Linked DNA regions of Caenorhabditis elegans. The protein of the gene in region 2 purifies or fractionates together with the protein of the main gene of each other region. This does not show direct contact. Each region holds a gene or a part of one and is shown on either strand. Other genes may lie near its edges.

The links.
Region 1: the proteins of K11H3.3 (region 2) and ZK1320.9 fractionate together in Caenorhabditis elegans (co-fractionation; one large-scale study listed by BioGRID). This does not show direct contact.
Region 3: the proteins of K11H3.3 (region 2) and tmed-10 fractionate together in Caenorhabditis elegans (co-fractionation; one large-scale study listed by BioGRID). This does not show direct contact.

Annotation. Positions count from the first base shown.
Region 1 is NC_003280.10:9,680,319-9,691,307, reverse strand, and holds ZK1320.9 (Acetyl-CoA hydrolase), read left to right. Parts: upstream 1-4,594; 5' UTR 4,595-4,596; coding exon 4,597-4,652; intron 4,653-4,702; coding exon 4,703-4,809; intron 4,810-4,862; coding exon 4,863-5,015; intron 5,016-5,061; coding exon 5,062-5,223; intron 5,224-5,332; coding exon 5,333-5,410; intron 5,411-5,454; coding exon 5,455-5,865; intron 5,866-6,568; coding exon 6,569-6,834; intron 6,835-6,882; coding exon 6,883-7,068; 3' UTR 7,069-7,220; downstream 7,221-10,989. Other genes in the region: nlp-11 (Neuropeptide-like peptide 11), read left to right, coding at 355-510, 1,344-1,463; ZK1320.13 (Purkinje cell protein 4-like protein 1), read right to left, coding at 8,302-8,362, 8,409-8,479, 10,407-10,481.
Region 2 is NC_003281.10:9,844,036-9,854,334, reverse strand, and holds K11H3.3 (Putative tricarboxylate transport protein, mitochondrial), read right to left. Parts: upstream 2,482-10,299; 5' UTR 2,449-2,481; coding exon 2,417-2,448; intron 2,370-2,416; coding exon 2,100-2,369; intron 1,758-2,099; coding exon 1,239-1,757; intron 1,187-1,238; coding exon 1,069-1,186; 3' UTR 501-1,068; downstream 1-500. Other genes in the region: gpdh-2 (putative glycerol-3-phosphate dehydrogenase 2), read left to right, coding at 1-31; mrpl-36 (Ribosomal protein), read left to right, coding at 6,225-6,326, 6,509-6,640; K11H3.2 (uncharacterized protein), read right to left, coding at 6,768-6,902, 7,237-7,761, 7,815-7,877; K11H3.5 (uncharacterized protein), read right to left, coding at 8,666-8,757, 9,018-9,127. UniProt on the Caenorhabditis elegans protein: Transport of citrate across inner mitochondrial membrane.
Region 3 is NC_003283.11:11,320,980-11,332,288, forward strand, and holds tmed-10 (GOLD domain-containing protein), read right to left. Parts: upstream 5,986-11,309; 5' UTR 5,968-5,985; coding exon 5,863-5,967; intron 5,743-5,862; coding exon 5,680-5,742; intron 5,630-5,679; coding exon 5,305-5,629; intron 3,425-5,304; coding exon 3,303-3,424; 3' UTR 2,986-3,302; downstream 1-2,985. Other genes in the region: F47G9.4 (putative RING finger protein 207 homolog), read right to left, coding at 1-311, 451-645, 694-732; str-141 (Serpentine receptor class r-10), read right to left, coding at 1,343-1,422, 1,470-1,647, 1,696-1,824, 1,916-2,057, 2,152-2,286, 2,334-2,412, 2,508-2,589, 2,662-2,841; F47G9.6 (DUF1968 domain-containing protein), read left to right, coding at 8,421-8,595, 8,641-8,904, 8,987-9,131, 9,181-9,612, 9,662-9,665.

The DNA.
Region 1 (10,989 bases), on a different chromosome or scaffold from region 2:
AAGCGGGAAAAAGTTTCAATTACGAATTTTCAAGTCGTCTAGAAATAGTGAAATTGAATTAGACTTTGAATGAAGAATCTAGATACGTGAGAAACGGAAAGATGCTAAAATAGTGACATGTCTTACGAATTTGGTGCAGAAAAAGAATTAAATATTTTTCAAATCGTGCGCATGTAGGTCTTTCTATTTTACAAAACTATTATTTTGGGGATCTGAAAAAAATCTGAAAAAGAAAAAGGATTTAACCCTTACATCATATTTATATCGAGATAATCAATTAAAAATAGATTTTGTTACGTTTTGAGCATTAAGAGTTTTTTGTTCATCTGCATCTTCAATTAATTTCAATTCCAGGCCCCAGGATCACAATTCAAGGGTGCACCACTCCAATCAAAACGACATATTTCACCATCATACGACGTAGAAATCGACGCTGGAAACATGAGAAATTTGTTGGATATTGGCAAGAGAAGTGCTCCAATGGCAAGCGACTATGGAAATCAGTTCCAGGTGAGATTATAGTTGAATTTTCTTTAATGACCCTAGAGTATCTATAAGTGTAATTTTATAGTAAGTTTGCTCGGGAAAGTGAAGCACAAATTTTTAGTAAGGCTTTTATTGTAAACGCGCATGGTTGTAGTTTCCAAAAAATGTGGAAAAGTTCTTTATATTCAGACTTCGCTCTTGTTTTCCAGAATTATCTATTCTGAGTTCATTTTTCATCCACCCACACTATCCATTCCATCGCCAGTTCTTTTTCTGCTCCTATCCATTCGTGATTTCATTCTTTTCATCACTTCTCTTCCTTTATTTCATTTCCTCCATTCCCCATATTCTCCGTTGTTACTCTAGAATTAGAATGCATACATTGAAGAAGAATATTCTGTGCATCTTTTTTTCCTAACGGCAAAAAACGGAAATGTATGGGCGTAGAGGATTTGACATAGAAATGGAGCATAAAAGTTCAATTTCCTATGGGTGACGTGGAACACGGGTGAAGAGAAATACTAGATGTTGCGACGAGAGAGACTAATGGGATAATTGGATAATTGAGGCGATGAATTATTTTTGTTCTGATTTCTTCATGTTTTTGAGCTATTTTTGAACTTTTCAGTTGTAAAAAATATGCGCAAATTGAATTGATAATGCGGAGTTACCATGGCTATTTGAAAATTTGGAAAATATATTTTTAAAATTTTAATGGACCTCGGAAGTCATAAAATAAAGTTTTATTTTCTGGAGATACTTGAAAAAATATTTTTCCAGTCTTTTTTAATTGAAATTTTTTTGTTACCCGTGCCGTAAAACAATTAATTTTTGACTGAATTCTTCCGTAATTTCAGATGTACAACCGTCTGATCGACGCTGGAAAGAAGAAGAGAAGCCCTGCAATTTCTCCAGCTTACCAATTTGAGAATGCTTTTGGACTTTCGGAAGCTCTGGAACGAGCCGGACGTCGTTAAACATCAACAAATAAAATACCATACCAACGAGTACATCCAAATAGACAATTGTTTCCCAATAAATAATTTAAAGTTTTGCCCAACTTGGCCGGACTTTCAGGTTTGCCTGAAAGTTTGTTCATACATCCCTCTCCACCTCCGCCCTCTTCCTATTCATGACGAGAATAAAGTGTTTTGTTAGACACTACTACCACTTTAAAATTAGTATATTTATAAGAAAATAATCATAATAACAATGGAAAATAATGAGCTCTTAAGAAAATACGAGCAAAAAAACCGGAAACTTGATATGCTCCCACCCACGCCAAAAATCATGGGAAAGAATTGAAGACAAATAACAGGAAGTTTGGTGCAAAAATAATTGGGATATATTCTCCAAATCCGGGCGGCTCGTCTGAAAATCAAATGTGAAACATTTTTAATCAATGTAGTACGAAAATAAAGATTTTCAAAATGAACTTTTTTGGCAAATACTGAAATACTACCTTGTGTTAATACTACTTTTGCTTGAATACTACTATTGCTAGAATACTACCTTTGCTAGAATACTACCAAATTGCTAGAATACTACTATTGCTAGAATACTGCCATTGCTAAAATACTACTTTTGTTGCTTAAATACTACCTTTTCAGAAAATTTTATAATTTTATTCATTTTTTCATTGGAATTCTTATTAAGTACTATTTCTGGTCAGATATTTTGAATAAGAAATAATTAACACAGCATTTTTTATTGTAGAAGTGGCTTGATCGGTTTTATTTAGGGATCAAATTCGAGAGTATTCATTTGTAGTGAAATTGATTTAAATTCAGCTGTAGACCGTTCTCAAAAAGTAACTCCGCTTTTAGTTGTTAGCTATTTTTGATTGAAATGGTTGTAAAACAACAATAAACTAATTGCAGAATTCAAATATTTCTTCCCAGAGTGAGGTTGTAAATACCCACACTCGTTTATAGTTTTACGACTACATATCGTCTCCTTTTTGTTTTGATGACACACAATTATGGCTAACTGATTCAAACATATAGCTACTAAAGTATTTCACTTTCAAACACTATATCTACAAGCAAACATATTTGCTTATCAATATCAGCCATATTGGACACCTTAAAAACATATCCCATCTTCAAACTCTCACGATGGCTGAAGAAAAAAATTTTTTTTTTTAATTTTTCAATTTTTTTTAAAGTTTAGGTATTAATTTGCTTTGATGTGTCTAGATATTAAACAGCTATTTGATATTTTCATACATTCTTGTTGTCGCATGTTGATGATGCTCAATCTCAAAAAAGGCTAGGAAAAGTTATTTTTAAATTTGACCGTCGCTCACTTAAGAAACTTTAAAGTTAGAAGAAATAAAACATTACAAAATCAATAAACATGTTAAAAGCTACATTTCTTCAGTTAACCATTTTCATGTATCTCTTTTCGTTGCTGAGCTACGTTGTGTTTATGTACTCAGACGCTGTTAAAATTTCACTTCATATTATTCCAAACTCTAGCCTGTAGCTCAAATTTCAGTTGTCTAATAAAAATGCTGTCAACTGACAAAACATTTGTCGCACTATTTGGCACATTTGGTTTACTGCGAATAATGTCAAATGGTGTATTCTTGCAGACTTGCAGACATCTTGCAGACATGGGGGCCTGGAATACGAAAAGGGATCTAGATGTTATCTGCCAACTTTCAGAATGAACTGAAGCTTCTAGACCGCTTTTTTTGTGTATGAACTCTATAAAATTTTCAAAGAAAAAGCTATCCCATACGTTGAAAACAAAGTTGTTTTGTACTTTTCCGCTTCTTTATTTTTCCCACATTAATTTTGCACAAAATTCACTCTATAAGAAATTCATAAAAACAATAAACGTAAGGAGAATGCTATTCATTGATGATCCTGAATGGAATAGAATATCAAGCATCTTATCCAAAATTTTCTTAAAAGTTCAGAGCATAAGGTGTTCTACAAAAAATTTAAATGTTCCAATAGCCCCAAAAATAGCCGTTCGAGAAAAGTGATAGATAGACACTTTTCAGGATACTACAAAGTGGAAAATTGACGAGAAAATTTGGGAAACCGAGTTTAAATTGGTTCGAAATAGTCGTTTGGGTGAGCACTTCGGTGAGCAATAAAACAAATTGTTCACGAGAACCAAAATAGGATATTCTGAATATAAAGATCTCAGGATGTATACATTTCGGTAAGAAAAAGGATTTGGGGACTGTGAAAGTTAGGAAGGGATCCTAGGTGTTTCGATGTTTGAGCTGAACAATCACAAATTAACATTTCTGGTCAAAGACGAGTTTCCCGTGCGGTCTATACATTTTTTGTATTATTGAACAAAGGTATGTTTTCGGATGTTTTGCATGTAGGCAATTGCATAAATATTCGTTCAATATCCGAAAAATTCTGTAAATCTTGGTTCTTTATTATGCTTTCTAGTCCGTGTGACAGTACATATATCGTAACTTCACTAGATTTTTAAACTCCTTCTTAAGAAGTGTCCCAGCGCGCAAAAAAGTTTATGGTAGCTACCGTAAACTTTTTGCGCGCCAAGACCCATCTGAATAAATCCGTGCGCCTTTAAGAAGGAACGTCAAAATCTAGTGAAATCACGATACAAATTATATTTTCATTCCAATTGTCATTATTATTTTGAGTCAAAATTTAACTCTTCCGGGTTCCCGCAAAGTTCAAAAATCCAAAAATCAAACGCTTGACTACACTATTAGAGAGTGCATGAAATCGAGAGACACCGACATTCCATCGGGATATCGGAGTGTCGTTTGTTTGGAAACATTTTTTTTCGAAGCGATTTTTTGATTTTCGTGAACAATTTCTAGTTTTTGTAGGGTTTTCGAACTTTTTCTAGTTTTGTCAAAAGAAAAACTGATTCATTGATGTGTTATCAGTGATCTTAATTTGTTCTCTCATCTCCTCGTGATTCTATTTTTGAGAGAAATTTGAGAAAAATGTTTTGGAAGAACTGAAGGAGGTGGAGCACATAGAACATTGAAAAAGCATTCACATGTGAGGTTTCGATAGCTTTTCTTTTATCATTCACTGAGTTTTCTTTTTGATTTTTTCTCAATTCAATTGAAAAAATATTTTAATTGTTTCCATTTTTGCAGAAATGTCCTTGAAACTGGCCAAGCAACTATCTAAAAGTTCAGTTATTTCCCTCTCAAGGTTAGTGTTCTTCTACAAAAGTCGATAATTTTTTGAACTGTGATTTTCAGGCATTTCACAAATGGGCCTCGTCTACCAACAAAATTATTGCACGCAAAACCTGGATTCGTGCCAAAATATGTATCGGCAGATGAAGCCTTGGCGATGGTGAATTCAGGTTTGTATCCGAGAAATTAAAATTAAAAATCTCTAAAATTCAAATTATTTCAGATTCTGATATCTACGTTGGAAACCATGCGTCTGCTCCCAATGTTCTTCTCGAAGCACTTTGTCGTCGTGTTGATTCGGCAAATCTCAACAATATCCGAATGTCTCATCTAATTTTAAGCGGAAATTGCCCACAATTCGACCCTAAATATCACGGTGAGTCAATTTCAAGTATTTTAATTTTTAAATTTACTGCTTTCAGGAAAAATTCAAAACAACAGCCTGTTCATTTGCCCGGGAAATCGTAAAAATGTTAATTTGGGCGCCGCTGACTACACTCCGATTTTCCTCTCTGAAGTTCCCTCTTTATACACAAGTGGAACATTGAATGTTGATTTTGCACTGATTACTGTCTCTCCACCTGGTAAGAATTTAAATTTGATTAAAAGTCGCCATAAAAAAAAAAGCGAAAACAGGGTTTTGTGATTAACAACTTTATAAAAATTAAAAATTTGTTTTTTTTTCTATTTCAGATGAGCTCGGATTCTGTACACTTGGAGTCGACATTGACACAACACTGGCTGCAGCGACTAGTGCCAAAAAAATTATTGGTAAAAATAAATAATCAATAAGTTGCAAAAAAATATTTTTTCAGCCCTTGTCAACAGCACAATGCCCCGTACCCGAGGCCACACTACTGTCCATTCTTCTCATTTCGCTGCAATGGTTCAAACGGATCGACCAATCGCTTTCCGTCAGTCTGGTGGAGAAGAAATGTCTGAAACCGAACAAAGAATCGGAAAAATAATTGCCGAGAACCTTGTCGACAACGGAGCCACCCTTCAACTCGGCATCGGAGCAATTCCAGACTCGGCGTTGGCAGCGATGAAGCAGCACAAAGATCTTGGAGTTCACACGGAAATGTTTAGTGATGGAGTTATTGATTTGATTGATCGTGGAATTATTAATAATCAAAAGAAGGCTTTTATGCCAGGAAAAACTGTTTCCTCGTTTGCTTTTGGAACAAAGGAATTTTATAAGAAAATCGATAATAATCCAGAGTTTTGTAAGTTTTTATTTTACCAATTGTAAAAGTGATTTTAATTTTTTTAAAAATAACTTTAGAACTGTGCAAGGATACCACAGATATCCGTTTTTGCTGTTAAAATTAATTCAACGATTTTTTAAAATTTTTTAGATATTTTTTGTTGGTTTTATGAGCGAAACAGAAAAATCGGAAAAATACAAAAATTTTGTAAAAACGAAAAAAATTCCAAAATTCAAAAATGTCCCGATGAGGGAAAAACGAAATCTCGAAAATTTGGAAAATTCCGATTTTTCGAATTTTTTAAAAATGGAAAAATCGAAAAAAAAATGTTCAGAAAATTAACCATAAAATATGATTTTTATCTAATTTTGTTTTTTATTGATAATAAATAAATAAATAAATTGATTCTAAAAAGAAAAACAATGACCAAAATTTTAAGCTAATTTTTGAAAAATCGAATTTTATAATACAAATTTTTAAAAATTGAAAAACGAAAAGCCTTCGATTTTTCTTTTTAAAAACCGCCACCCTTGGTCCCAATTATGTGTTCATCAGAACCGTTACAGAGAAAATTGTTTTTTTAATCAGAAAAATTTTTAAAAAATTAATTTTCAATTTGGATCAAGAAATATATCAAAAAAAAATTGTAACTACAGAAACCCAAAAAAAAAAAAATTCGATTTTTTCCATCTTCCAACTAAAAACCCAATCATACTTTCAGATTTTGCCCCATGCGACTTCACCAATCATATCGACATCGTCCGCCGTAACAGTAAAATGACATCAATCAACTCAGCGATTGAAATCGATTTGACGGGACAAATCGTATCGGATTCGATTGGACGCAATTTTTTCAGTGGATTCGGTGGACAAGTCGACTTTATGGCTGCCAGTCCACACGGATTTGATGGACTTGGAAAGGCGATTATTGCATTACCATCGAGAACCACTAAGGGACAAACGAAAATTGTTCCATTCTTGACACAGGTTAGTTATAAACGGAAGCTATATTGAAGGTTAAAGTTCAATTTTCAGGGTTCTGGAGTGGTCACGACACGTGCACATGCCAGATACATCGTTACCGAGCATGGCATCGCCAATCTATGGGGAAAATCAATTCGTCAAAGAGCCTATGAGTTGATTCAAATCTCTCATCCGGATGATCGTGAAGCTCTCGAAAAGGCTGCATTTGATCGATTCAAAGTGATGCCATCTGCGTGAGAAGCGAATCAATTGCAGCTCCCTCAACTACTGGGTATAATGGTTACCGAGTGCCCGATTAAATCTAGTTTTCATTTCTTTGTATTATACGGTTCGACTTCTGATGTGTTTTCTTATTGCACATAGGTTAAATTATAAAAATGTTATTTTTGAAACTTCACACTACAATAATTTATTTGGAGGTTATCTGAACATTTTGAAGGAGAGTCGGGCGAGTGTGGAATCTACAATTATAAAACATGGATGTAATGAAAGCATACAGGAAAAGAATCATGAAGAAATATCAGAGGCAATTCTAAAGTTGACAAAAAAAAAGAGAGATGGAAGTGATCAAGTGGGAACAGTACACATGTGAAGATGGGGAGTGGTGGGACAAACACAATTAACCGATCACGATCACGTACAATTTTCAAATCACTTGTTCATCGATGTGGCTATCCGTGGTGGATGTTCGGATCGGAGCCCTGAAACCCAACACAATTTAAGAGGATTTTAGTGCTAATAGCATAGTAAGAATTACTCGACTACATAAAACGTTATAGTTAAAAACGGTATCTTACCGAATGTTGTGCATTTGGATAGGCTTGAATGATCAATGGTGGAGCAACTCCCGAAGATGGTGGAACTTGACTTGCTCTCTTGGACTCATGATCGATTCCACATTTAAACATATCGAAAAGCTCTTTCTGGGTTCCACCAATCGCCTCATAGGCAACTTTCCACAAATTGGAGGTTGAATTGTTCCGTCCCAATGCTAACTACATTGTCCAGCGAGCATTTTGATGAGGCCGGGGCATTCCAGTGAAGTCAGGAGACGAATTGTTTCCAGCCAAAAGGGGACGTTCTCTGAAGTGATAGGGTGAGATACCTTTGCTTGATCCAAGAAATCCTAAAATTACCTTTTTTCATAACTTTGTCTCCGTTCAAATGTCTCTAATCAAATATAAGGCCTACTATAGACTTACCAAATATCCAATTCTGGAACCATCCGCTTACAATCTCGCGGCAAATTCTACGAGATGCTTTCCAGTGTACGACGGATTAGTATCCATGAACATTTTCACAGCTTCTCGAGCACCGTCTGCACATTTTACATATTCCTCGTATATCGTGATGGCACGACAAACGTCTCTGAAAGGATTATATCATTTATTCGTACACTTTATTAACATTTATTGGTCTTTTGAATTAAAAAAGTTTTTATTATAAAGTTATTCACAATAGATTATCAAATTATTGCTTATCAACGGCAGCAACTACCGGCGCAGCGGCTTTGGCTCCGAATCGTTTTCCTCTGAAAAAATCATATTTTTGGGGAAAGGAGGTTGAAGCACTCCTACCGGAACACATTTTGAATTTTCTTTGCAGCGTCTTGAACTTGTGGATCTTCCAAGTTGATGTCGATTTCTTCCTGAAAAAATATATGTTAGCGGGCAAGCTAAAACTTTTTGAACTAGACTAACAAAAATATGTTTAGTTTATCTGGAATCTCACGTAGTTATGTGTTATGCTCATGAATTATAAATAGCAGTAGCGGAAATATTCAGAAAATTTCCAAGAAAACTTGATCAAACTGGAACATCAATAATTCTCATGATGTACTTAAATGTGTATGAATATTGTAGATGGAAAGTTGACGTTTGCAGCCAAATTCAATAATTGGAAAATGTTCGAATATCGTCTGCGAAAATCCGTGTGCGTCTTTATCAGTACGGTAGTTGTTAAATGTTCTTTAGTTTATTATCATTTTTATCCAAGGTAAAACATACAAGGATATTCAAAGAAAGAAGATCATAAAAATCAAAAAATTTCCAGAAAAAGTTGAGGTGTATTTAATAGGCGGTACTGTATTTTTCCAGTTCCCTTTCTCATTATAATTTCCAACTTCCCGGTGCAATTCGAAAATGTTTGAATAAGGTTCTTTTTTTCTGCATCTACTCCTCCATCTGCTTCCTTTTTTTCACTTCTAAATGAGTTTTCCCTCCCCTTTCCGAATCCATTTGCTCGTGAGCGTATATTTATGCGAAAAGTGCCGAGAAACGGCGAAAAAGGACGAAGAAGAAGCAATTTGGCACACAATTCCCCCCTTACGCACATTTTCTCACTATCTGATGATGGGTGTGTGATGTTTAAAAAACGGATGTCTGAAATGATGAGAATCGTGAGTGAAGGGCTCCTGAGCCACCTGTCCTGGGAATTCTATTTTTTATTCTTCTCTTTCGTTTCAAAAACTAGGAAAATTCAACATTTTCGCTATGTTTGTAGCAGCTGCAAAGTTGCTATTGAATATGGTCCGCTGTCAGTTGGGTCGTATCACGAAAACAATTATTTTGGCACACCTTCAGTAAAACAGTTGTAGAAATTTGTCGGGTACTGTTTTCAGATAACTTCTTGCTATATGCAGAAAGACCAGTTTCCGAATTTTAAGATGAAAAACTGCCAGATTTTAGTTTTCTGCAACACACTTAACTAAATCTCAGCCATATTTCTTAGAATTTTCACAAACTTGAAGCATGGAAAACAATTTTTCATATGCCACCGCTCCGTAAGATAGAAATTATCTCCGTTATATGAAGTTTTTATAATGATCAGTTAGAAGTATGTATATCTCGGCATTTGTTGGAAGCATTCCCATATACTTTTTTTGCACAAACTAAATAATATTCCGGATAATATATGATAGTTTCTAAATACTTAATGAATCAGCTATCTTACTTACCCTTCAGTAAGCAAACCTACAAAAATGCTTATTTGAGAATGAGATAGACTTTTTGAATCGAAAGTTAATATAGAAACATAGGAAACTGCTTGATTCATTTGAAAATAACTTTCATTTTTATTAAAAAGTTTGAAAAAAGTGTCAAAAAATGCTTGAAAGTTGATGTTTGTCGAGTAAAAGCTAATTATATTTTCACAGCCAGTTTTTCAAATGCTTTCCAAATTAAAAAAAAAGCAAATTAATTTCAAATCAAATATTTCCCAATAATTTTACATTTATTTTGATTTTAAAAGTTAACATTTTTTTCAAAGTTTCTCGTACCAAAATGAACATATTTGCCAATGGTTATGTTGTATGTAATTCCACCTGCGCTTTTATTTCTCCATATTTTGTTTGAATTATTAATTTTTGACGTGACAACCGGCATTTTTCACCTGCTATTATACAATTCATATTCCAAAGAAAAAAAGGATGTAAACTACTGTAGCTCAGAAATTCATACATCGAGAAAGTTCTAGCTTAGACCTAACATTTTTCAAAGCTCAGCACAAAAGCTCTACAAATCCTCTTTGATTCCCATTCAATTTCACTTGCATCAAGAAATTGGCCATAAACCAACCTGATTGTTGGACGTGCTTCCCGCTGCTCCATTCTCCTGGGGAATTGTTGTAGTGGCACCGGAAGACGTCGACATTTCTTTTCTTCTTTTCGCCCTTTTTTCCTGAAAAAAATAAAGAAAAGGTTTTGTTTTCGGATGGAACAAAAGTTTGTTTAGAAACACTTTTGAAATAATATATAAGGCAACAAAAAAAGAAGAAAAGAAGAAGAATTGATAAGGAAAAAATGTGAGAAAGAGACCTCAAAAATAAAACTACAGTAATCCTTTTTCAAAAGCTTATAATACACATTCTCTACAATTTCAAAGGGAGAAGGATTCGTGCGGTTGGGTCTTGACGCGCAATATTTTGTGTGTGCCTTTAAGTTTACTGTAGGAGATTTTGAGCTGTCTTTGTCGTTTTTTTTTAACTTTCTGACTGTTCCCATTATTTCTCATACTCGTGAAAAACTATAAAATCATAAGACAATGAAGAAGAGATTTCAAAAACCACTACAGTACGCTTAAAGGTGCATGCCCAAAATATTTTTGTGAAATGAAATTTGCGCGGTGACCCATCAGTATTAACGGGTCACTTGAAAATTGA
Region 2 (10,299 bases):
TTGTCTCAGAAACCATCCAGAACACATGTAAATATCATTATAGGTTTCGCAAATTTCAATTAGGATTATTTTCCTTCCTTCCTAAATATTCTTTGTTCGCGTTCTCTCTTCTCATCTTTTTTCACAAATTACGAGTTTATTGAGTTATTTTTTTATTGCGTGGCACTGTGCAATGCCTCGTTCTAGCTGCATCACACGTCCACAAAATTGTATTTTTATAATTATTTTTGTGTCAAAATGAACTTTATTGCAATTTTCGAGATATTTGTTGAAAGCATAACCTATAAAAAATATTCGACGAATTGAAGATAATTGGTCTGCTAATTATTTAGCAGAATCAAGTATGGTCTACTAATTATTTAGCAGAATCAAGTATGGTCTGCTAATTATTTAGCAGAATCAAGTATGGTCTGCTAATTATTTAGCAGACCAAGATTGGTCTTCTAATTATTTAGCAGACCCGTATCTCAGCACAGCGCCACAAAATTGTATTACTATAATTATTTTTGTGTCAAATTGAACTTTATTGCAATTTTCTAGGTATTTGTTGAAAGCAGAACCTAATTTGTGAAACATATGCACCAGTGTGAAAAAAAATTGGTGAAAAGTGACTTTCGGATTGGCAAAAACATTTTCGGGGGTCGTGAAGAAATATCATATCACAGAATACGGAATACGTGGCAATGTTAGGATGAAAACTGAGAAACTCGAACTATTTACATCTACAGGGAGGGTATGGTGAGCAGTACTAAATAATAATAAAAAATGGGGGAAGCTGTTAGAAATTTACTATATTAGGGATGGGCGGCAAGTCTTCGGTATAATGACCCAATTTTTTGAATAAAAAAATAAAAAAATAGAAAAAATTTCGATTAGTTTGAAAATAACATTTATTTTATTTAAAAAGGTTTTCAAAAAAAAAAGTTATTTTCAAACTGATCAAATATTTTTCTATCTTCCATCACTTATGTTTTATTGCCGCCCATCCCTACTTTAAATGCTATTCAACTAGATTGGTAAGGGCATGAAAGGAGTTGAACAAAAAACACGACACGCCTAGAGACGGAATTATTGTTGTTTCTTCCAATAAACATCAAGGAATTCAATAATACTGTCATAGATCATGAAAGTGATTCCGACGTCGAGGCAGACTCGAGAAAGACGAGGTACTGTTCCCTTGTAGAAGCTGAAAATTGTTTTAATAATATAAATCTGGAGTTAATTATTCCAAAACTCACGCGAAGAATCCTTCTTTCTTCCAAATTTGCATTGCACAATCCAAAGTATTCTTGTACTTTTTCGCTTCGAGACCTTGCATACGAGTTTTCACTACATCAATCGGAGTATTTCCATAAACAGAAGCAGCTCCAGCAACTGCTCCCATAAGTCCGACGATTGGTTTTGAGATCGGTTGAGTATTGTCACCACCACGATACCAATCTTTGAGAGTTTCCATTACAAAGAATCGAATCGCTTGATTGGATCCTTGTTTGGCCATTGTTGCAGTAACTCCTTTATATATACCACCAAGTCCTTCTGCTTTTACAATACATCCAACTCCATGCACAAATCCTTTGTATTTTGGTTGAGCAAGTCCTTGATCATGAATAAATTTCACTTTTACAGTTTCCATAGGTGTTACTGCAAATACGGCTTCAGAGAGACCAGCTCCCAATCCACAAAGAAGTCGCATTACTGGAGATAGATTTCCTCGTTCATCTGCTGCTTGAGATTTGAGATATTCGAATGTTCCGAATCTAGAAAATGTATTATTTAGAGCGTTTTTTCGGAAAATTCGAAAACTAGATTTCAATTTTGACAATTTTTCTCTAGTTTTAGAAGTAAATTGCACGCTTTCGTATTTTTTTAAACTACAAAAATTGATACAAAATTTTAAAATTGTTGAAAAATTTCGATTTCCCGGAAAATCAAATGTTCCGAATCTGAAAATTATATTATTCAGAATTTCTGATAATTCCTAGTTATAAACAAGGATGTCACTTCTCCGTTTCTCGATTGCAAAAAAATTCGAAAAATTAAAAAAATTTTTTTTGACCGATCAGTTCTGTTTTGACAGTACGAAAGCGTATTTTCCATACCTGAATGAAGATTTTGGAATAGATCCGTAGAGAAGAACAGATAATCCTCTGTAAAGACCAAAGAATCCATGTCCATTCACTGTTTGTTTTACACAATCAATTGGTCCTCTGAATTTTGGAGTAGCAGACCGTTCATCAAGTTGAAGTTGTGTCTTGACATATTCCGTTGGGAATGTAATACAAATCTCAATACCACCAGTGATTCCTCCAATCACAATTCCACGAACCGTCTTCTCTGAAGGTCCGTATTGCTGCCACATTGACAGAGGCCTGGAAAAGGAAAAAATTAATGTGAAAGTGTATGGAAATTGGCTCACTTGGCTCCGGGCACTGGCTGAATTCCGCTCATTTCTGTGAAGACGTGCGCGCGGAGATGGGGACCCTGCAAAAGATAGTAAAATCAAAAGAATTCAGGAGTAAGGAAGAGAGATTTCGTGCAAAAAAAGAAGAAGAAGAAGCTTTTCACAGATTCAAAAAAGAAGAAGAGGCACACAAACAAAACCGGCAGAGAAAAATGAGAAGGAGCTGGCGGAGATGTGAGGAGAAAGACGGCCGGATGACGAACACGTCAAGGCGCTCATAGGGAGCTGAAGAGCACGAGGGGCGACCGGAAAAATGCAAGTAGGGAAGGAAAACGATGAAAAATGGACGAGGAGAAGGAGAAAGTCTATGCGTTGGCAACTTTTACATCTAAACAAACAAATAAAACTGAACTAGACCATTTTGGATTGTAGTGAACGAATGAGCAAGATTTTAAAATTAACGGTTGATTTTTTGGAATTAAAAAACCAAACTTTTCTCAAGCTTCTAACAAATTTTATAGCTGTTCAAAACCTCGAAAACAATGAAGTAAAATAACGTTACTATTTTTTTTAATGGACTATAATTTACAATTTGAAAAGTTCGTGAAGTGGAAAACTGAAATGCGATCCATTTTCCTCTCAATCAAAGAATCATGCCACTCTCTTCCACTCCACTCGCATCTGAAACCAGAGAACTATTCCAGAGTTCGCCGATAAGACGACTGCATTTTGAGGTGGGGTGAGGTGGGAGAATAAATAAGTTGAAAAAGAATTTTAATTTTAGAATATTCTTAGATTTAAATGAAGCAAATAGTGTTTCGACTTCATGACCTCCACGGGCGAGTCACAAACAAGTGAACCATCGATTGAAAATAACCTATTTTGGAAAAGAGAGGAAACACACGAAATTGAATAGAGAGGGACAATAACAGATTGGTTAGGTTCTGTGATCATTGAACAAAATGAACAGTTTCGGTCAGATTTAGAAAAATTCCTGTAATAAGACGATTGTGGGAAATCAGGAAATTTTGATAAACATTACGATTTTGGTTGAGGCTCAAGATTTTGGGTGAGGCTCACCATTATCGATAACCATTAAAAAGTCTCAATAAATACTGGATATAACTCTTTAAAAAATTTTAGAAATTTTCTAAATTTTTTCAAAGAAAAAGGGCTAAATTATTTATCCCGCGCAAATTGATAACCTAGTTTTAAATGTTTTGCGTTTTCAGACATTTTTCCTCCAAAAAAACCAATTACTCTAGCCGGAAATAGTGCAAAATTAGGTCTTCTTTTTTCTGGTAAATTCTCATTAAAAATTAGAGGAATTCTATACATTTTTTTACTGTTACATTTGGTAAGTATATTGGAACTATTTTCTGTCATGTTCTGGGAGAAAACTACAGAAAATCGAAAAATTCAATTTTCATCTTATGAAAACGAGCTTTTGTTTGGCAAACATCAAAAAATGAACTTTTAACGGTCTCACGTATGACCTGATCATTTGCGCAGACACCTAGATCAGGGTCTCTGGGATATTTCATCCAATTAATAGGCGGAGTATAGCTTGCAAGGGCATCGGAACTTTTAAGATATTAAATATGATAAGAATGATAAAAGATGATAATTGAACTTATTGGAAAAGAATGACAAATAATTCCTGTTTGTTCAAAGGTAAATAAACAATTGAACAAAACACACGAGAAATTAGGGTTTTTCGTGACTACAAATCGAGGTCAAAAAGGAATGACATAAGTGACAAAAATGTATTTGATAACGAAATTACGATGCGGCAGTAAATGGGCAAAAAAAGAGAGCTTGATAGCGGGAATCGATCCAAGAAGGAAACAATCGGCCCAAGGTTATTGCAGGAATGTAGAGAAAAGATGGATGGTAACTGAGAAAAACGGATATGAAAGGACATTATTGTGTCGCATCAAGAACTACACGTGGGCAGAATAGAGGGATATATTGGAAGATAACTATAGTGCCTATAGGCTAGACAGGGGTCGATGATATCGGAAAATATTGAAGGAAATCCATAAAATGAATAATTCGAGGTAATTACTAGACTAGACTAGGCCTGAATCCGGAACAAAACATTTTTTTTTGAGATCGAAAAACGAAAAAAGTAAAATTTTTTAGACAGAAACACGAACATTTTTGGTTGAGGCTAGGAATTAAGTTGATGCCAAGGGTGGCATTTTTCACTTTTTCGATGTTTATACGCTAACGGAATTGCACACCTGGAATCACTCCGGCCAGCGGAGCGCACTTGCACACCCCCGCTTTTCTCACTGGTTTTACTCCAGCTTGTATTCTTTAAGGGTGCCTTCATAAGGAACGTTCGATTTTCATCGAATTTACAAAAAAAAACTTCACAAAGAAAAAAACAAAAAAAATTAATAAAAATTTTGGAACTTTTTTTTTCAATTTTGGGACCTGACGTCTAAGCCTTTTATCAGAGCTTTTTGAGGGGCTAAAAGTTGTCAAAAAATAAGTTTCATCCGGAAAAAAAAAAAGAAAAGTGAAACTTTAACAAAAAAAAAAAGAAACACCCTACATAGAATCGAACCAAATAGTGTTTCTACCAAACGGAGCGCGCTACCCACTGCGCCAACTGAACACAGAATTTCACACCATTCTTGGTGAAGATATAGGAAAGCCGCTGCAGCCGCTGTAGTTTGAGAAAAGCGGGGGGTGTGCAAGTGCGCTCCACTGGCCGGAGTGATTCCAGGTGTGTAATTCGGTAATCCAGATGTTTATCAGGAAAATCAAATAATTTTTAAAAAAGCGAATTCAGCTTCTATTTTTTCACGACTTTTCGTGTTTTCCTAATGAAAATGGAAAACTTAGAACACAATCGTACTATTTATTCAATAAAAACATAGGAAAATGAACGAACTGATTTTTGAAGTTATTTATCAGAAGAACGGGATTTATGATTGTTTTTAAGCGTTATTGAACTGATATTCAATTTAAAACGCATTTACAAACCTACATATAGCCTTTGAAATAAAAATCAAAAGAAATTAAGTAAAATCATGAGAAAAAAACGAAAATCTCCTAAAATCTAAAAATGAATTTGTCCGAGAGTAGTACACGGCCGAGGATTCCACAAATCTTATTTTAGCGCGAAATTCAAATTAGATAAACGAAGCGAATGATTTTCGGCACTTTGAATCCTCTAAACTTCTTCTGGTTGAGGCATTTGTGTGACATTTCGAGGATAATAAATTCTTATTTTCAGTTTTGTCGACAAAAGGAAAAAGGAAAAATAATAAAATTCACTTTTTTTTCGTAAATTGAATTGTAAATTGAATCTTGAATTTTACATTGGTTCGTTGATCATGAGAAACATAGAATAGTATTACATGATAATCAAACTAGAAACAAAACAATAGCGCTTTGAAAACAAATTTTAAGAGGTCTAGAAAAGTGTTTCCGTTGCAAAATTTCACAAAGCCGGCCGTTTCTTCAAACATTTACTGAGAAAACACAAAAAACAAGAAATCAAAAGAAAATTAAAAAATAAAAACGCCAATTTCTCTGAAAATATAAAAATACAGTAAGAATATTTAAGCACGGCGCTGTCTTCTTCTCCCGAGAAGAGTCGTCTGACTGATGCGATGTCTCTGCGTCTCCACTCTCTCATACCTGTTTCAATTGAGCGCACTTGCAATTTCTTTTTTTAATGTTTTTTTCTTTTTCTCTGGTTTTTTGATTAATTATTTGTTTCCTTTTTCCTTTTCTTCAAACTCTAAGATTTTTTGAACATTAAAAATACAAATAAAATACTTAATAATTTCATATTTTCAGCAAAATGTCCGGAGTATTAAACCGAACTCTTTCGCAAGGAAATTCCATCATCCGGCAACTTCTTGCTGTCAGAAATCCCATGTGTCAGGAAACCGCTGGATTTAAAGTTAGTTTTTAAAAAGTTAATTAGTAGTTCGTCGAAAAGCTATTCAGTTCAAAAATCAAGCTTACAGACGAAATGTGAAATAAAAACTAATAAAAATATAATGTGAGAAACCCCCGCATTTTAAAATCAAAAATCATATTTTTTCTCAGTCTGGTTTTTTTTTCTAAAACTTTAATTTTCAGGTGAAATCGCGTCTGAAGTTGCGTTGCCGCAGTTGCTACTTTCTTCGTGTCGAGGGTCGTCTTCACGTAGAATGCAATGAGAATCCCCGGCACAAGGCTCGTGAAGTGTTCGATGTGAAGAAGCTTTGGTAATCTGTCGACTTGTTTTGTTATTTCTTTATTGTTTTAGGCCACTGTAGCACTAATAAATTTGTATTTACGAAGGCTTTTTTATTTTACACAATACTTTATTCATTAATATGGCTCTTTTTTAGAAATTTTAGAAGTTTTCATTCATTTTCTCTTCGATTTTCATTCGTCTCAATCTACTCGCTCGATTCTCCAATGGCGTTTCTCCAGGACGAGGTGATGGTGTCAAATGATTCAGTCTTGAAGCACTGTGGGACTTCAGTGGCTGGAATAAATGTTTTATTGTAAAAAGGCGCAAGTGTTGATTCTGATGGGTCCCGGCGCGCAAAAAGTTTACGGTAGTCTTTTTTTCGGAAAAATTTTTTAAAATAGTGGCTAAAAGAAATTTTATTCAGAAATGCAAGAAAAATAAACGAGGAAGAAGCTGAAAATATTTAAAAAAAAAAGACTACCATAAATTTTTTGCGCGCCGAGACCCATCTGAACCAATCTGTGCCTTTAAGAAAGCATGTCAAAACGATTATGGAAATACGATATTCTCAATTTTATGACAGACACCTCTCCCAAAATCGAGAGCCTCAACCAAACTATTCACAAACCGTATTAATTGTTCTGTTGAGCACATCTTCCAGATACATCGAGTTTGATCTTCTCCACGGAGTTCTAGTAGATTCCACTGTGACAAAAGATTTTTTAGCGTGTTGAGTGGACGAAGCAAATCTTTTAGGTTTCTCAAAAGATTCACTAGATGCTGAAGCAATTGGTGACAGTACATGAAGATCCGAGAACAAAGAGGTTCGGCGACGATTGAAAGGAGACGCAGACAATGGCTCGTCGAGCATCATCGAATATTTTGTAAATGAAGTTGGAGAAGCTAGTTCTGCTCGGGCTTTCTCAATTTCCTCGAATTCCTCAAATTCGATAATCTCATCTTCTTTGTTTTTCTGTTCTTCAATAATTGGTCCGAATACTTTTTGAAACTCTTCCACAGTTTTTACACCAGATTTTTCGATTAAAAGTAGAGCCGAATTTTGTAGAATCATTTTGTAAATTGCACAAAGTTTCGGATCTTTCAATGCACCAGGAGAAGCTGAACGATGTTGAGATTGAGCCCATTCTTCTGCCTTAAAATAATAAAAAATACGTCTGCTTAAAAATTAGAAATCATGAAACTCACTTGTTGTACCAAATCGTTCATTTCGCTGTTCAAGTTACTTTTCAAATTCGGGCTCAGCTCCATTTTTGAGCAGTCGAGCTTAAATCGTTTAATTTCGAAACGTTTTAAATTAAGAATTGATTATTTTTTATAAAAGGGGGGATAAAACATTTCAAGATGTATAAACAAGATATAAAGTTCACGGATTTCAAAAATTATTAACTTCAGTTGTTTGAAAATGTTTAATTTCGCAAATTAGAGAAAACGTATTGTGCAGCATATTTGACGCCCAAAATATCTCGTACCGAAAACTACAGTAATCCTTTAAATGACTACTGTAGCGCCTGGGTCGATTTACGAGCTGGAGCAGCGATAATCTATCCTCCTTCGTTTTTTAGAATTATTTTCTCATTATTTGCTTAACTTTAATATTCTATTCATAATAAATTGTGATAATAAATGATTTTGATTCATTCCAAAAATCGAGACCGTAAATCAACACTACAGTAGTCATTTAAAGGATTACTGTATTATTCAGTTTTTAAATTCAATTAGGGTATATAACAATGAAAATATTCATTGAAATTATGATACTTTAACCATTTTTGAAATATTTTTTGTGTTTCTGCCAAGAAAAATGCAACACTGAACCACGACATTACTTATTTTTTGTATCTCATTAAAATAATTTCGAGAATAAAGCTTCAACAGTTTTTATTCAAATAAAAAATATTAGACGATCTTTTATTTATTATGTGGAACAGAGATCCGTCGTGAATGTGATAACCCGTAATGATTTGAAGACGATCAGTTGAAAATTGTTAAATGATGTGATGAATGTGAATGTTGTGCAATTGAGAGAAAAGATGCTCTCATCGGCCTGGACGAGCACCGATTCCACTCTTGAAACCACTACGATAGTCTTCATAAATGTTTGCTAATGCACCATTTCCATTTGTATATGCTGAAAATGTATTTAATGAAGACATTGGTTTGGGTTACTGTAGTTTCTTTTTAGAGCTTCCTACAAGCAAAAATACCAATTACTCAGTTTTTAGCCATTTCGGAAATCTACCAAAAATGACATTATGGCAAAACTTGGCATATTTTGCAAAACTTTTTCTTGACAACTTTGTAAGATTTCAAAAACTGTGGGGATGATTTATAGTTAGACTAAAATCCAAATTTCAAAATAAATCAAAATATAAAATATTTCAAACTTACATCTTCTCAACTTCTCAATCTTTTCCTCCTTCTCTTCAATATCGTTACTTAAAGTTTCCACGACTTTTTCCAAAAGAGCTTGTTCCTCTTCAAGCATTTGCAATGATTTTCTGGAAAAAGATACAGTTTAGACGTCATTTAATACAAATTAATTAAACAAGAAAACAGTCTAATCGGATTAGGATGGGGGACAAGGTGCACCAATTTTCGTGGAGACACTCCGGTTTCGGAGAATTTCGTTGAAACATGGGACAAAGTTCGAGTGTGAGGAAATATCATTTCAGAATGATGAGAATTCTAGACTAGAAAGAATTCAACTTTTTTGAAAATTTTTCTAAAATTTGAAATTTTATAAACATCCGATTATACGGCATAGGAACACTGTCGTATACCGAAATACCGCGGTGAGACCTAGCCAAAAAAAAGCATGTGCCTTTAAAGAAACATTTGATGATTTCAAAAAATAGTAATATTCAAACTTTCATTCTTCCCTGTCCCCTTGGGTTTTTGAAAAGTCGAAAAACTTGTCATTAAAACAACTCATATAGAAAAACAAGTTGAATGTGTACTATTTCGTTACACCCTAAACATCGGTTTACGTGTTATAATCCGGCAAGAAAGGGAATAAATAGAGGAAGAATTTCAAAAGTTCCAAAGTCCTAGTGATGACCATGAAATGGACGTACTGTGAGCCGATTACCCGGGGGGACACAAGAGTGCTTCTATCACGCATCGCTCGAATTCTTCTCGTTTCGCTGAAAATTCATTCGAGTCAGCTGCGTCTAGAAACGTGACTTTTAGAAATATATTACAAAACAGCTCATAAAAACTATACAGGGACAGAAAGATTAAATGATTAACTCGCGAATATTACCTAAATAACAAAGTATATATTACGCACCCGTCAATTGTGAACTTGCGCGTAAAATATGATGTATTGGATTTCACGCGCAAATTTGAAATTGAGTATGAGAGACTTTGATTTAAATGATAGAAGAATGACCGCTTCTCTAGCACTTTTTTTTCGAATTCCCGCGCAAATGTTACGACCCATTTTCCATCATTTGAATCAAATTTCTCACGAATAAATATAGCTTAAAACTGTAAGTGCACATTTTGTTCCATCACATACTACATATTTCAAAATTAAACCTCATAAAAGTCACAACTGCATTCAATAGAAATACGAGAAAAAAAGTGATTTCAGTTTGAAAAATGGTTTGTCACAAAAATACACAAAAATGACGCATTTCCGACTACCAAAAGACGAGTGGAAGTGTAT
Region 3 (11,309 bases), on a different chromosome or scaffold from region 2:
AGTTTTGCCGCGGATTGCTCGATTCGCTCCAGACACAACCTATGCCCCTGCTCAATCGAAATGAAGCTGTGCCTTTCTTCAAGAGGTCTTCCATTAAAACATTGAATACATACAAGTTTTCGAACATCCGAACAATATAGGATATACGGCTCATTGTGGTCCTTACACAGTGAGGAACTGTAGACTTTACTTCGTTCATCGGAACTTATGATTTTGTGTGAGGAGAACATTCTGGCTTGATGAGTCACATTTCGACACACTAGACACAAAGATTGTTGACAAGTTTCACAGTAGAACATGGGAAGTGAGATCTGAAAGTATTTAAAGTTAAAAGAACAAGTAACAACTAAAACAAACAGGAGAAACTTATTTGAAAATTAGGATTTACAAGTTTTAAATTTTCAACTCCAAAATAATATGATATGTAGACAAACAATTGTAAATACCCACCTGCTCACAATTTGCACATTCTTCCATTTCTTCCTTTGAAGCATCTAGTAAAAAGGCAGCCAACTTGTCTGGATGTGGTGTATGGCTTCTTGATGTAGATGGTATTGGAGAACATGATTTGCAACTAGGTGATCCAGTTGAACATTTCCTACATGTTGTATGCTGACAACTGAGAAGTATTGGCTCTTCGAATTCCTTAATCGAAGTTACTTTTAGACATCAAGTAATCATAATTAAACTTACATTTTTACAAATCGTACATTGAAGAGGATTCTCCTCCATTTTATAATTAACTGAGGAGCACACAAAATAAAAAAAGAAAAAGAAACAGCAAGGTGAAATTACACTCAAAAAGATGGGGAAGTCGGCAAGGGAAAGTAGACTATAATTGAGAGAGTGCAGAGATTCAGAGACCACCCCACGGGAAGTTGCAGGCACCCGAGCACAAATCGATTGAAGCTTTAGCGACAATTGTTATATTTACGTTAGAACGAACGGAAACTTGTAACCACACTGTTCTTTGTTTACTTATCACTAAAGTTGGCAGTAGGTTTCTAACAAGTTGGTTTTTTGTGTTCATAGTTCTTTCGGGAAGGCTACAAGAGAAGTGAGAACTTTGATATTTAAAAAATTGTGATTACTTTCATTCGAGGGATAATTTTCTCATTTCAGAAAACTTGAAGCCAATGTTTTTTACAAGTTAGTAAGTTGTATTCCAAGTAACATTTTTATTAGATCGATCCTTAAAGTCTATTGAGATCAAGTATTATCATATTTTCAAAGAACCAGAATGAAAATATTCATATATGTATATAGTCATATGAACTTTATTTTTAAAAAAAAGTAGAGCATGCAAAAATAGTAGGAAACGTTATACTTAAAATATGATTGTTTATTTGATTGCCATCTGTGTTCCACTAGTACTGTACACACTTATGCCATTTGGACCAACACGAACTCTCCGGAAGAAATCTGAAATTTGTGATAATTCTCACGATAAGAATACTTATTAAACTTACTAGCTATAGTCTTTCTGAAGTCTTTTATACAATAAATTGCAATTAATGGTTCAATTGCAGGATACAAAGACATACTGGCACTGGGATAATTCACATACGCACCTAATCCCATATCAAAAAATGGGAGAACAATGAAAAGACCCACTGGGATGTACATTGTTATAAATGGGACAATAGTCTTAACATTTCAATATTTAAAATATATGTTATCATCTAGAAAACATACCTGGATTGATAACATTATATAAAGCTGCCTGTTCAATTCCAGAGTTCTTTTACTCATATGACCTTTTTCTTTTTGCATTTTTAGATAAATTCGTAACGCGAAGAAGCAAATTAAAGTTGTTAATGATCCCTAAATGTTTGTTACTTGATATTTCTATTTATACAAAGGCACAGAGCAGATGTATGAGTTGTGTTCTGGCAAAACTGGTATGGCAACTTACAATAATTCCAGTACAGACTAGTGCAGAGGCTGCATCTTTAAATCTCCAAACTTTCTCTCTATTTGGTCCATTGTTCCAGTACAACGGAGCAATAAAAGATATCATCATTGAATCTGATTCATACATATTTTTAAAATCATCTCTGAAATTAGGTGTCAGAACTGATTCATCACGTCTAGAGGCCACGTTTTCAAAAAGCTACTGAACTACTCATGGACGCTGAAATTATCACTAACTTCAAATAGATTCGTTTTTCCATAGTCGCAGACATTCCCCAAACGACAAGTTCAAACCAGAGAATGTATGTAATTACGCATGGAATGAAGATCAAAAATATTTTATATCCATCGAAATAAGATAACAGACTTTGTCTGAAAAGAGTTTCAATCAGAAATTTGTTGAATCTATTCAAGAAAACCTGCACAATGCAATGTATCTGTAGAAAAACTGTGCCGCAAATACAGAAATCAAAAATCCAAAGGTACCACAATGAAGACCTGTAAATTGTTGTTTTCACTTCAATAACCAAAAAAAGAGGGAAATTCATTTTTTGTTTAAGAGTTCTATGAAAAGTAAAATGTTTAAAACTAACAAGCAACTACATTTCCAATGCCTTGAGAAAAAACGTTATTATCAAGAAACACGACAAACATTGGACCTTTCATGTATAGTACCTGAAAGACGATTATTTGAAGTAACATTCTCAAAATTTCAATTTCAAGTTCCAATTTTCTATTGTATCGTACCGGCTGTGCAATTATCTCTACTGCAGAGTACAACATCGAACAAAATGTGAATACAAACATAACATGACGGTAACTACCAAACAGTTTTCCAGCTCTTTTCACAATTAATATTGCCAGAACAGTATTGAAGATTTGTGCTCCGAAAAAGCCGGCGTAGTGGAAAATATGTAGACCGATCATTGTTGTAAGTGAACTGGTGGAGAATGAAGTCTGAAGTTATTTCTGAAAGGATGACGTCTGAAAAAGACTTCTTGAAAAGTGATCTTATGTACTTTACTAAATCACCATATGGTGAGTAAATTACCAATTGATGTTTCAATGTTTCAATTTAAAAGTTCATAATAATGATTTTAAAAAACGGCAATGATGAAAACAGAAAAATAAGACGGAAACATTACACACTATACATTTTACCCTTTGTTGATACTTGTGCAGATTAACGGGGGAGGAAACAACTAAAATCCAACAAAATAAAATACTCATTATCATCATTATCTAGTAAAAAAGATGTGGGAACCAATTAGAAATCACATGAAACGTTTGGGTGTGTGGACAAAAGAGATGTTGGGGGAAAAGCAAGAAGTTGAGGAGAACCGAAAAAAAAATTGATAAATTAATCATAAATTAAGGGTTGGGGAAATCTAGTCGATAAGCTTTTTCGACTTGAAGTAATTACGGAGGAAAAGAACTTGCCAAATGGCAAGACCAAGAAGGCACAGCATTGAAAAGATGGACAGGTAAAGAACTCGGCTGTTTGTCGATTCTGTAAAAAAAAGTAAAAAATAGATGGTTGTCGATGAATCGAATAATTAGAGTTTGCTCAAGTAAAGTGGTAAACAATTTCCAGGGATCACAATATCCTGCTCCGTGAAGAGAATGAATTGCGTCTCGAAACGATATGTTGTAGCCTTACAAATCTATTTAATTAACAATGATAATAAAAGCTTAATACAGTGCTCCACATAATGATACGGCCACCCCCAAATTTTGGTATAACTCAAAACTGGGTTGAGATAGCAAAACATAATTTCTTGTGAAAATGTCCGCTGTACTGGCTAACTTTCAGATAAGTATTGGAAATATACATGAACCGTTCGTAAAAAAAGATAAACCATTTTTTCATGAAAATCCATATAAAAAAATCCACAAAATGATACGGCCACCCTTGGTTTTTGTTTTCTTTTTTCGTTTTCTTTGCAATTTTTTTTTGCTAAACGTTAGGTTTTATGTTCGTTTGTGTTTTTACAGCTATGTGTCGTGGAATAACTTTAACTGACTACGGAAAAAGACGAATTGTGCAAAATTATCTCAAGGCTTTTCGGATCGTCAGATTTTTCGTGATTTGAAACGTTCAAGAGATATGATCACTCGATTTGCTTCAAATCCTGCCACTTATTGCACCAAAAAGTCTTCTGGTCGCCCACCACTTCTTTCTGGTAGAGACAAGCGAAAAATCGTTCGTCTAGCATCCAATTGAACAGTGACTTGCTCAAAAATTAGGCGCGAGATGAACCTGCCAGTGTCTGTTGAGACTGCACGACGTGTTATTTCGAAGTCTCAGTTTATCAAAAGACGAAAATTAGGAAAGGCTCCTTTCATTACCGAAAAACACTGCCAAAGTCGTATTCAGTTTGCTAAAATCAGCCAGAGAACTAACTGGAGACAAGTGAGGATTACGGTATGATCATTCAAGCTCATGTATTGGTCTCAGATCATCTTCAGTGACGAGGAAAAGTTTAACTGTGATGAACCAGAAGGCTACCGTGATTACTGGTACGATTTGAGAGAAGAAAAGATGAACTAAAACCAAAATTGGGCTTGAATGATCATACGGTAATCTTCACTTGTCTCCAGTTAGTTCTCTGGCTGATTTTAGCTAACTGAATACGATTTTAGCGGTTTTTTCGGTAATGAAAGGAGCCTTTCTCAATTTTCGTCTTTTGATAAACTGGGAATTCGAAAGAACACGTCGTGCAGTCTCAACAGACACTGGCAGGTTCATCTCGCGCCTAATTTTTGAGAAAGTCACTGTTCAATTTGATGCTCGACGAACGATTTTTCGCTTGTCTCTACCAGAAAGAAGTGGTGGGCGACCAGAAGACTGTTTGGTGCAATGAGCGGCAGGATTTGAAGCATATCGAATGATCATATCTCTCGAACGTTTCAAATCACGAGAAATCTGACGATCCGAAAAGCCTTGAGATAATTTTGCACAATTTGTCTTTTTCCGTAGTCAGTTAAAGTTATTCCACGACACATAGCTGTAAAAACACAAACGAACATGAAACCTAACGTTTAGCAAAAAAAATTGCAAAGAAAACGAAAAAAGAAAACAATAACCAAGGGTGGCCGTATCATTTTGTGGATTTTTTTATATGGATTTTCATGAAAAAATGGTTTATCTTTTTTTACGAACGGTTCATGTATATTTCCAATACTTATCTGAAAGTTAGCCAGTACAGCGGACATTTTCACAAGAAATTATGTTTTGCTATCTCAACCCAGTTTTGAGTTATACCAAAATTTGGGGGTGGCCGTATCATTATGTGGAGCACTGTACTTGGATAATCGGCAATGCATTATTTTTAAATTAAAATAATTACGAACCTTTTATATGATTCAAATGATTTTTTAAACACTTACCGTTCGTATTTCTCATTTCTTCCTCTCTTTGGCGCATGAATGCGAAATCTTTGGTGATTGAATCAGCCATATCCTCCAATCTTCTAAGTTCAACCTCGAGTGGCTTCAGCTTCTCGGCTTTGGCAATATCATCATAATTCTTGGCTTCGACTCCGTGCTTCAAAATAAGAGAAACCTCGCGCTTCTCTCCAGGATGCCCAGCTGGTGGATGATTCTCAATGCAAATCTCAAAGATGTCGTATTCGTCAGCAGTGAACGCGAATTTTCCTTTTAGATCAGCAAAGTTTTCACGTTTGTAGAGAGTGTGGCCTCTGGTGTCGGTGACCTGAAAATAAATTAAAAATTTGAAGTAATTTTGAAACTATTTTTACTCACGTGAATACTTCCAGTGTATTGAATTCCTTGACTGAACTCATATTCTCCTGTTACGACCACATTCTGCAAGAGGTTTTATTAGACATAAATTCTGATGTTTATTAAATATATCAATTTTTAACGAAAAAAAGTATGTTTGACATCTTTACTGCTATGGTAACAAGGAGTTGTAAAAGTATTTACCTTGTGAATTTCCTCTTTCAGACACTTTTTCTCTTTTGGTGGCACGTAGAACCTCAGAGAATGGGCAAGAACGATAGCTGACAGAAAGATAACTAGAGATTTCATAATTGTTCGGATGATTACCTGGAAATAAATGTAAGAAAAATGCGATAATGAATATTAAGTTGTTCAAAAGTTATCATGGACAAAAATCAGTTCATGTTAAAGGAATACACAGCAAAAATCAATACAAACGCCGAAAATAAATTTAAAAAAGATGGAATTAAAACCAACGCGGCGTATGCAGTTGCGCGTGGGATCGAGTGTGTACGCAAACACGCATTGGCAACCGTAGTTGAGTTGTCAACGTTGACAAACGCATTTTAACAGGAAAACACAGCGCCTCAAATCGGGAGAGTTAAGAAAATCGAGAATAGGAAAGTCCAACGGAGCGCGTTTGCACACTTTTACGGTATTAAATGAGTTTCAGACGAAATTTCGCGATTATTCGAGTTTTCAAGATGAAATTTGGAAAAAATAATTAAATATTGGGATTATTATTGCTTTAAAAAAGTTTTAAAAAACATTTTATTCAACAAATTCACGATTTGGCTGCTTTTTCATTGATTTTCGAACCGACTAGAACAAGTTAACTTTATGACAAAATTTCTACGCGAAACAAATTTTTTCAAGCATTAATATGTTTGATTCCAATTTTTAAACGTCAGCTTGATAGAGATAACACGGTTTCACGTCTTGAAATTGTTCAAAAATGCCCACATCAACGGAAACTGTTTAGTTGGCAGCTGATCTTCACTAAACCAACACTAAATGTTCAGATCAAATCACAACTTGTTTGATCATTTGAAAAAACATTTTTGAATCATTGTTTCCCACAAAAAGCAGATGATAAGTAGTATAGCATGATGAGAATCCATTAGATTCTTCATATGCGCATAGCTATAGATACTGTATCTTCGACAACTCCTATCTCCTCAGAGATGCAAGATATCAAAAAGTGATTAACTAGGAAATTGTAGAAACTATACTAATTAGTTAAAATCATGTGTTTATCTCTTAAGATGAGGGAGTTAGAGCAGCCAGTAGAATAACAAAAAGCATGCAATACAAATGTACGTCTAACTCCCCCATCTTGAAAGATAAAAACGCAGGTTAAATTGAATATCATAGTTTTTGATGTGCTCTACAAGTTCTCTCACCTCTCCGAGTAGATAGGAGTTGTCGAAGTTGAGGTATCTAGAGCCGTAGAGGGCAGGAAGAACCTGATGGTTCCTTATTAAGAAAAAGAAAATATAACACGAAACTTGTAAAAAATGTTAATTTGATCATTTATGTGAGTATTTGATCCATTTTTTAAGGAAAATTGGAGAGCAACACTTGCATAAGAAATTTGGCGTGGCATAGATCCATTGGTAGATTGGAACATTGAAATTTGATCAGAACTATTTGTACTTTTAGTGATTTTGATTGATTTGTAGCTTTATTCTAGTGAAATCTTTGATTTCATACAAGTTTTTTAACCAATTTTGCAAGATTTCCCTTGATAAATGTTGCTTTACTTTTTTATCGATTTCGTTGTAAAGAAAAATCATTTTCTGTGTTATCAGTCAAATTAATGACTAAAACACTTTAAAAAGATTCAAACTATTAGTAAAAATTCTAAAATTGAATATTTATGCAATAAATTGCTCTAAAATCAATTTTTATTTGCAAAATTCTGTTTTTGGTCAAAAAAAATTTTCAGATCCGCCGAAATTCAGAGCTCATTTCGAGCTTATTTGGGGGAAAATTTATATTAAAATGAAGTAAATCGCATCGCGAACAGTCTCTGGGCGGTCCCGCATGTTGAAAATTGCTTTAAAATCCCTAAAATCCAGCAAAAACGCGATATTTTACTGTTTTGTTACACATTAATTCCAATTCGTGCGACGTCTGCAGCAAACGCGCTCCCGCGCCAAAACCACTTCTTTAGCTCTTCTCTCCCGATCTGAGGCGCTGTGGAAAATAATATTTAAAGACATGTTTGCTTTCAAGAAAAGACAAAACCTATTTCTTATGAATGCAAATGAACTTTGCACGTATCTTAATATCTCACATGCAAAATTGTGCTATTTTTAAGCCAAAAATACGGTACCGGTCTCAACAAAAATTATTTATTCAATACGGGAAGATGTGCGCCTTTAAAGAATACTGTAGTTTCAAACTTTCATAGTGCTGGAATATTATTAGATCTTCCATAGTTTTTCGAAAAAAATATATTGATTGATTAAAACAACTAAAATAAAACACACAACATGGAAAATTAATTGCGAAGTTGATAAGAATACGAAAAATTTGCGGTGCATAAATTGCTGAAAGCGTCCTCTTCAACCCCTCATTCAACAAAGTGTTCATATTTTTATTCCATGTAATTTTCTAACTTCCTGTTATCTTTCTTTTGTAAATGAGATGTGATGAATATGCATTAACAGTTCATTAACATGATAACAATGCCACGAGTTTACTGTAGGTGTTTTGTTCTGTGATTTGGTAGTTTACCGGATCCTATAATACAAATTATGAGGCTTCTCATTTTTCTAATTTTTAATTATGCTCTTTTCAATGTTGAATCAAAGAGAGTCATTCAACAAATTGTCCTTGAACCGATCTTTCGATTCGCTGATACAAATGCGTCACCCATGAAGTCAGTATTTTTCATCAAACTTTCCCAATCGGATGTTCTAAATAATATTGGTATTTTGTAATATCCCTTCATATTTATATCTAAAAATAATTAAGACTTCAACTCTCAATCTTTCAACGCAGTTCGTGGATTCACAATGGAAATGTTTCTAAAAGATCTTAACTGTAGTGTTGACTCGTGCCAAAACTTTCCCCAAAAGGTCAGAGCTGTGTATCACGTAATAGATCGGGAAGGGAGATCTAAGTTCGAGATCTCTCCAGCTTCAACTGATAAACTTGTGGCGAAATCGGGTTACTTATCAACAGAGTGGATGGTGGGATTGCATAAATACAATGAATATTTTTCCGAAGAAGACAATTGTAAGAACTCATTCTCATAAAGCAATGATTTGTTATACTAACCTGAAAACTTAATTTTGAGTTAAATAACTTTTTTTTTCAGTATTTGCTTACACCAATAACTATTTCCCAGCTCAATATTACGGCTGTCAGTATCGAGATCATATGAGCATCCACTACAAATTTGTAAGAACTCTTGGTTACGCATTTGAGCCTATATCAATCCCTACAAATTTACCTATCTACTCGTGAGTTTTCAGCTAAATTCTATATAAGCCAACCATTAATGCATTACAGTCTAATTGAAACAGAAGTAGAAGATGATGTTACGACTCCGTCACCATATGTCCCTAAATATATCAAATCCGCTCCAATCGACTTATTCAGGCCTGCTGGTACTCGCCCTCAAACTAAATTCTCAGTTGGAGGGGATTTGAAAATAGTTCCACAATCTCAAAGTGTTGCAAGAGTTAATCAAACAAAGGCATGTGCATTTAGTAGTCAAATAGTTCTGCAGGAACTTGAAAAATGTGGAAAAATAACAACAATATTCCAATGGGTTAATCAAGAGCAAGGATTTCTTAGACTTAGCACGGATATTGCTATGATTGTTCCAACAACTCCTGTCACATGGCTCGGAAAGTTTGGTTATGCATTCGAGTCAAACGATGATAATAAATGTGATTTCCCATTGGTACCATTAGGGAAATGGAAAATATTAATGTTGGAGTAAGATTCCAAATTCTAAGTTTCCAATTTTTAATTTTTCCGTTTATAGGTAAAAATTTCGGCTGGCGATGAGGATGAAAATGCATTGAAAACCTCTGGATACACACCTACTGGAAGAATTATGGGTTACGGCATTAACTGTGATGATCGAGTTGATGGTGATATTCTTGCAAACTATCCAATTAATTGATTTGTATTTCTGCCAAGCAGCCTCTAATAAATGCCGAGTGTGGCGACTCCGCCCCTTTTTCGCGTTTTTTCGCGTTTTTTTTGGCTTGCGAAAAAATGTCACACTTCGTTTTTCATTCACAACTCCTGAACCGTGTGACTTCATGCTCTAATATTTGAAATCCTACTAGAAATATTTTGCCCCACGGTGGAGCAAAAAACGGCACTAAGTTCGGAGCAAAATTGAGCCCAGGACGGCTTTCCCCAGTTTGAAAAAAATTTTTGTTGCTCTTTTTACCCCCAAAAAAGCATGTTTTAATTGAATTAAAATTCGGGTTTTGCTCTGTTTTGTGTCAAACTCATGTGCAAGATACTACTCAGAGAGACTGATTTTTTGAAAAAAAGTTTGAGTTCATAAGTGCAAATGGAAAAAAGTTGTGATAAAACAAAAGGCCAAAAAATGACATTTTGCCAAAAAAATTTTTTTTTCCGAAAAAGTAGTTTTTCGTCATTATCTCAAGTTCTACTTCATCTTTTTTGATATTTTTTTGTTTACTCCACGTACAAAAGTACGCTGAACACGATTTTTAACTCAGAATTGGAAAAAGTTCTATGAGTCGGCCGAGCAAGACGAATAAGTGCCAAATTTTGCACACTTTCCATTTTCGTGAATCTACTTTTTCAATCATAGCTCGGTCAGTTTTCAATTTTTCTTAGTTTTCCAAAAATTGACGTGTAGGTCTCATCAAGACGCATCGAGACATATAAAATTTGTAAAAAGTTCAGTGGGAAAATTTTTCAAGAAAAAAATTATTCAAAAATTTAGTACTGGGGGGAGTGGTTTCCTGGGTCTCCTGAGCATTTTTTCCACTAAAGTTTTGCGGAATGTATTTTTGATTCATTGTTTTTGATTTTATTTAATGAAAGATGAAGTTTCGTCGCATTAGAAATACTCTGCCAAGAGATATTATTTTTATTAATTTTCAGGCCAAAACTTGTTTTTTTCTATACATCTGTCTGTGTACAAGATATAGCCCTCAACTGTACGTCTCCTTTTTGGGAAATCAATAATGAGTACAATCCTGTAATAAAATTTTCAAAAATTCGTTTTCCCGCTGACATATCAGTAATAAACGGTTTTCGAACGCCTTTTCTCAAAATGTAATTATTGAAGAAAGCGGAATCGAAAGACGACTCCCTCCAGAAATTCACCTTCCTTACTTCCAGCTTAAGCTCTCTCCCGCATGGCCGAGTGGTTAGTGCTTATGTCTGCGGAAATTTTGGTAGTGGGTTCAATTCTACCAACTGACAAACATTTTTGTTTTTTTTTGAGTATTCGGGATTCGAATATTATATAGTAATACTCGATTTTATACAAAATATGGGTACGTCTCCCCCCATATAAATCCTCCTCAAACTTCAATCAATCAAAACTCAGCTTTAACTGATTCATCGGGTGCGTCTGTTTTTGGTCAAACCGAACTCAAAAATCAAGAAGACATTGACCCACTGAAAATTTCACGAACCCT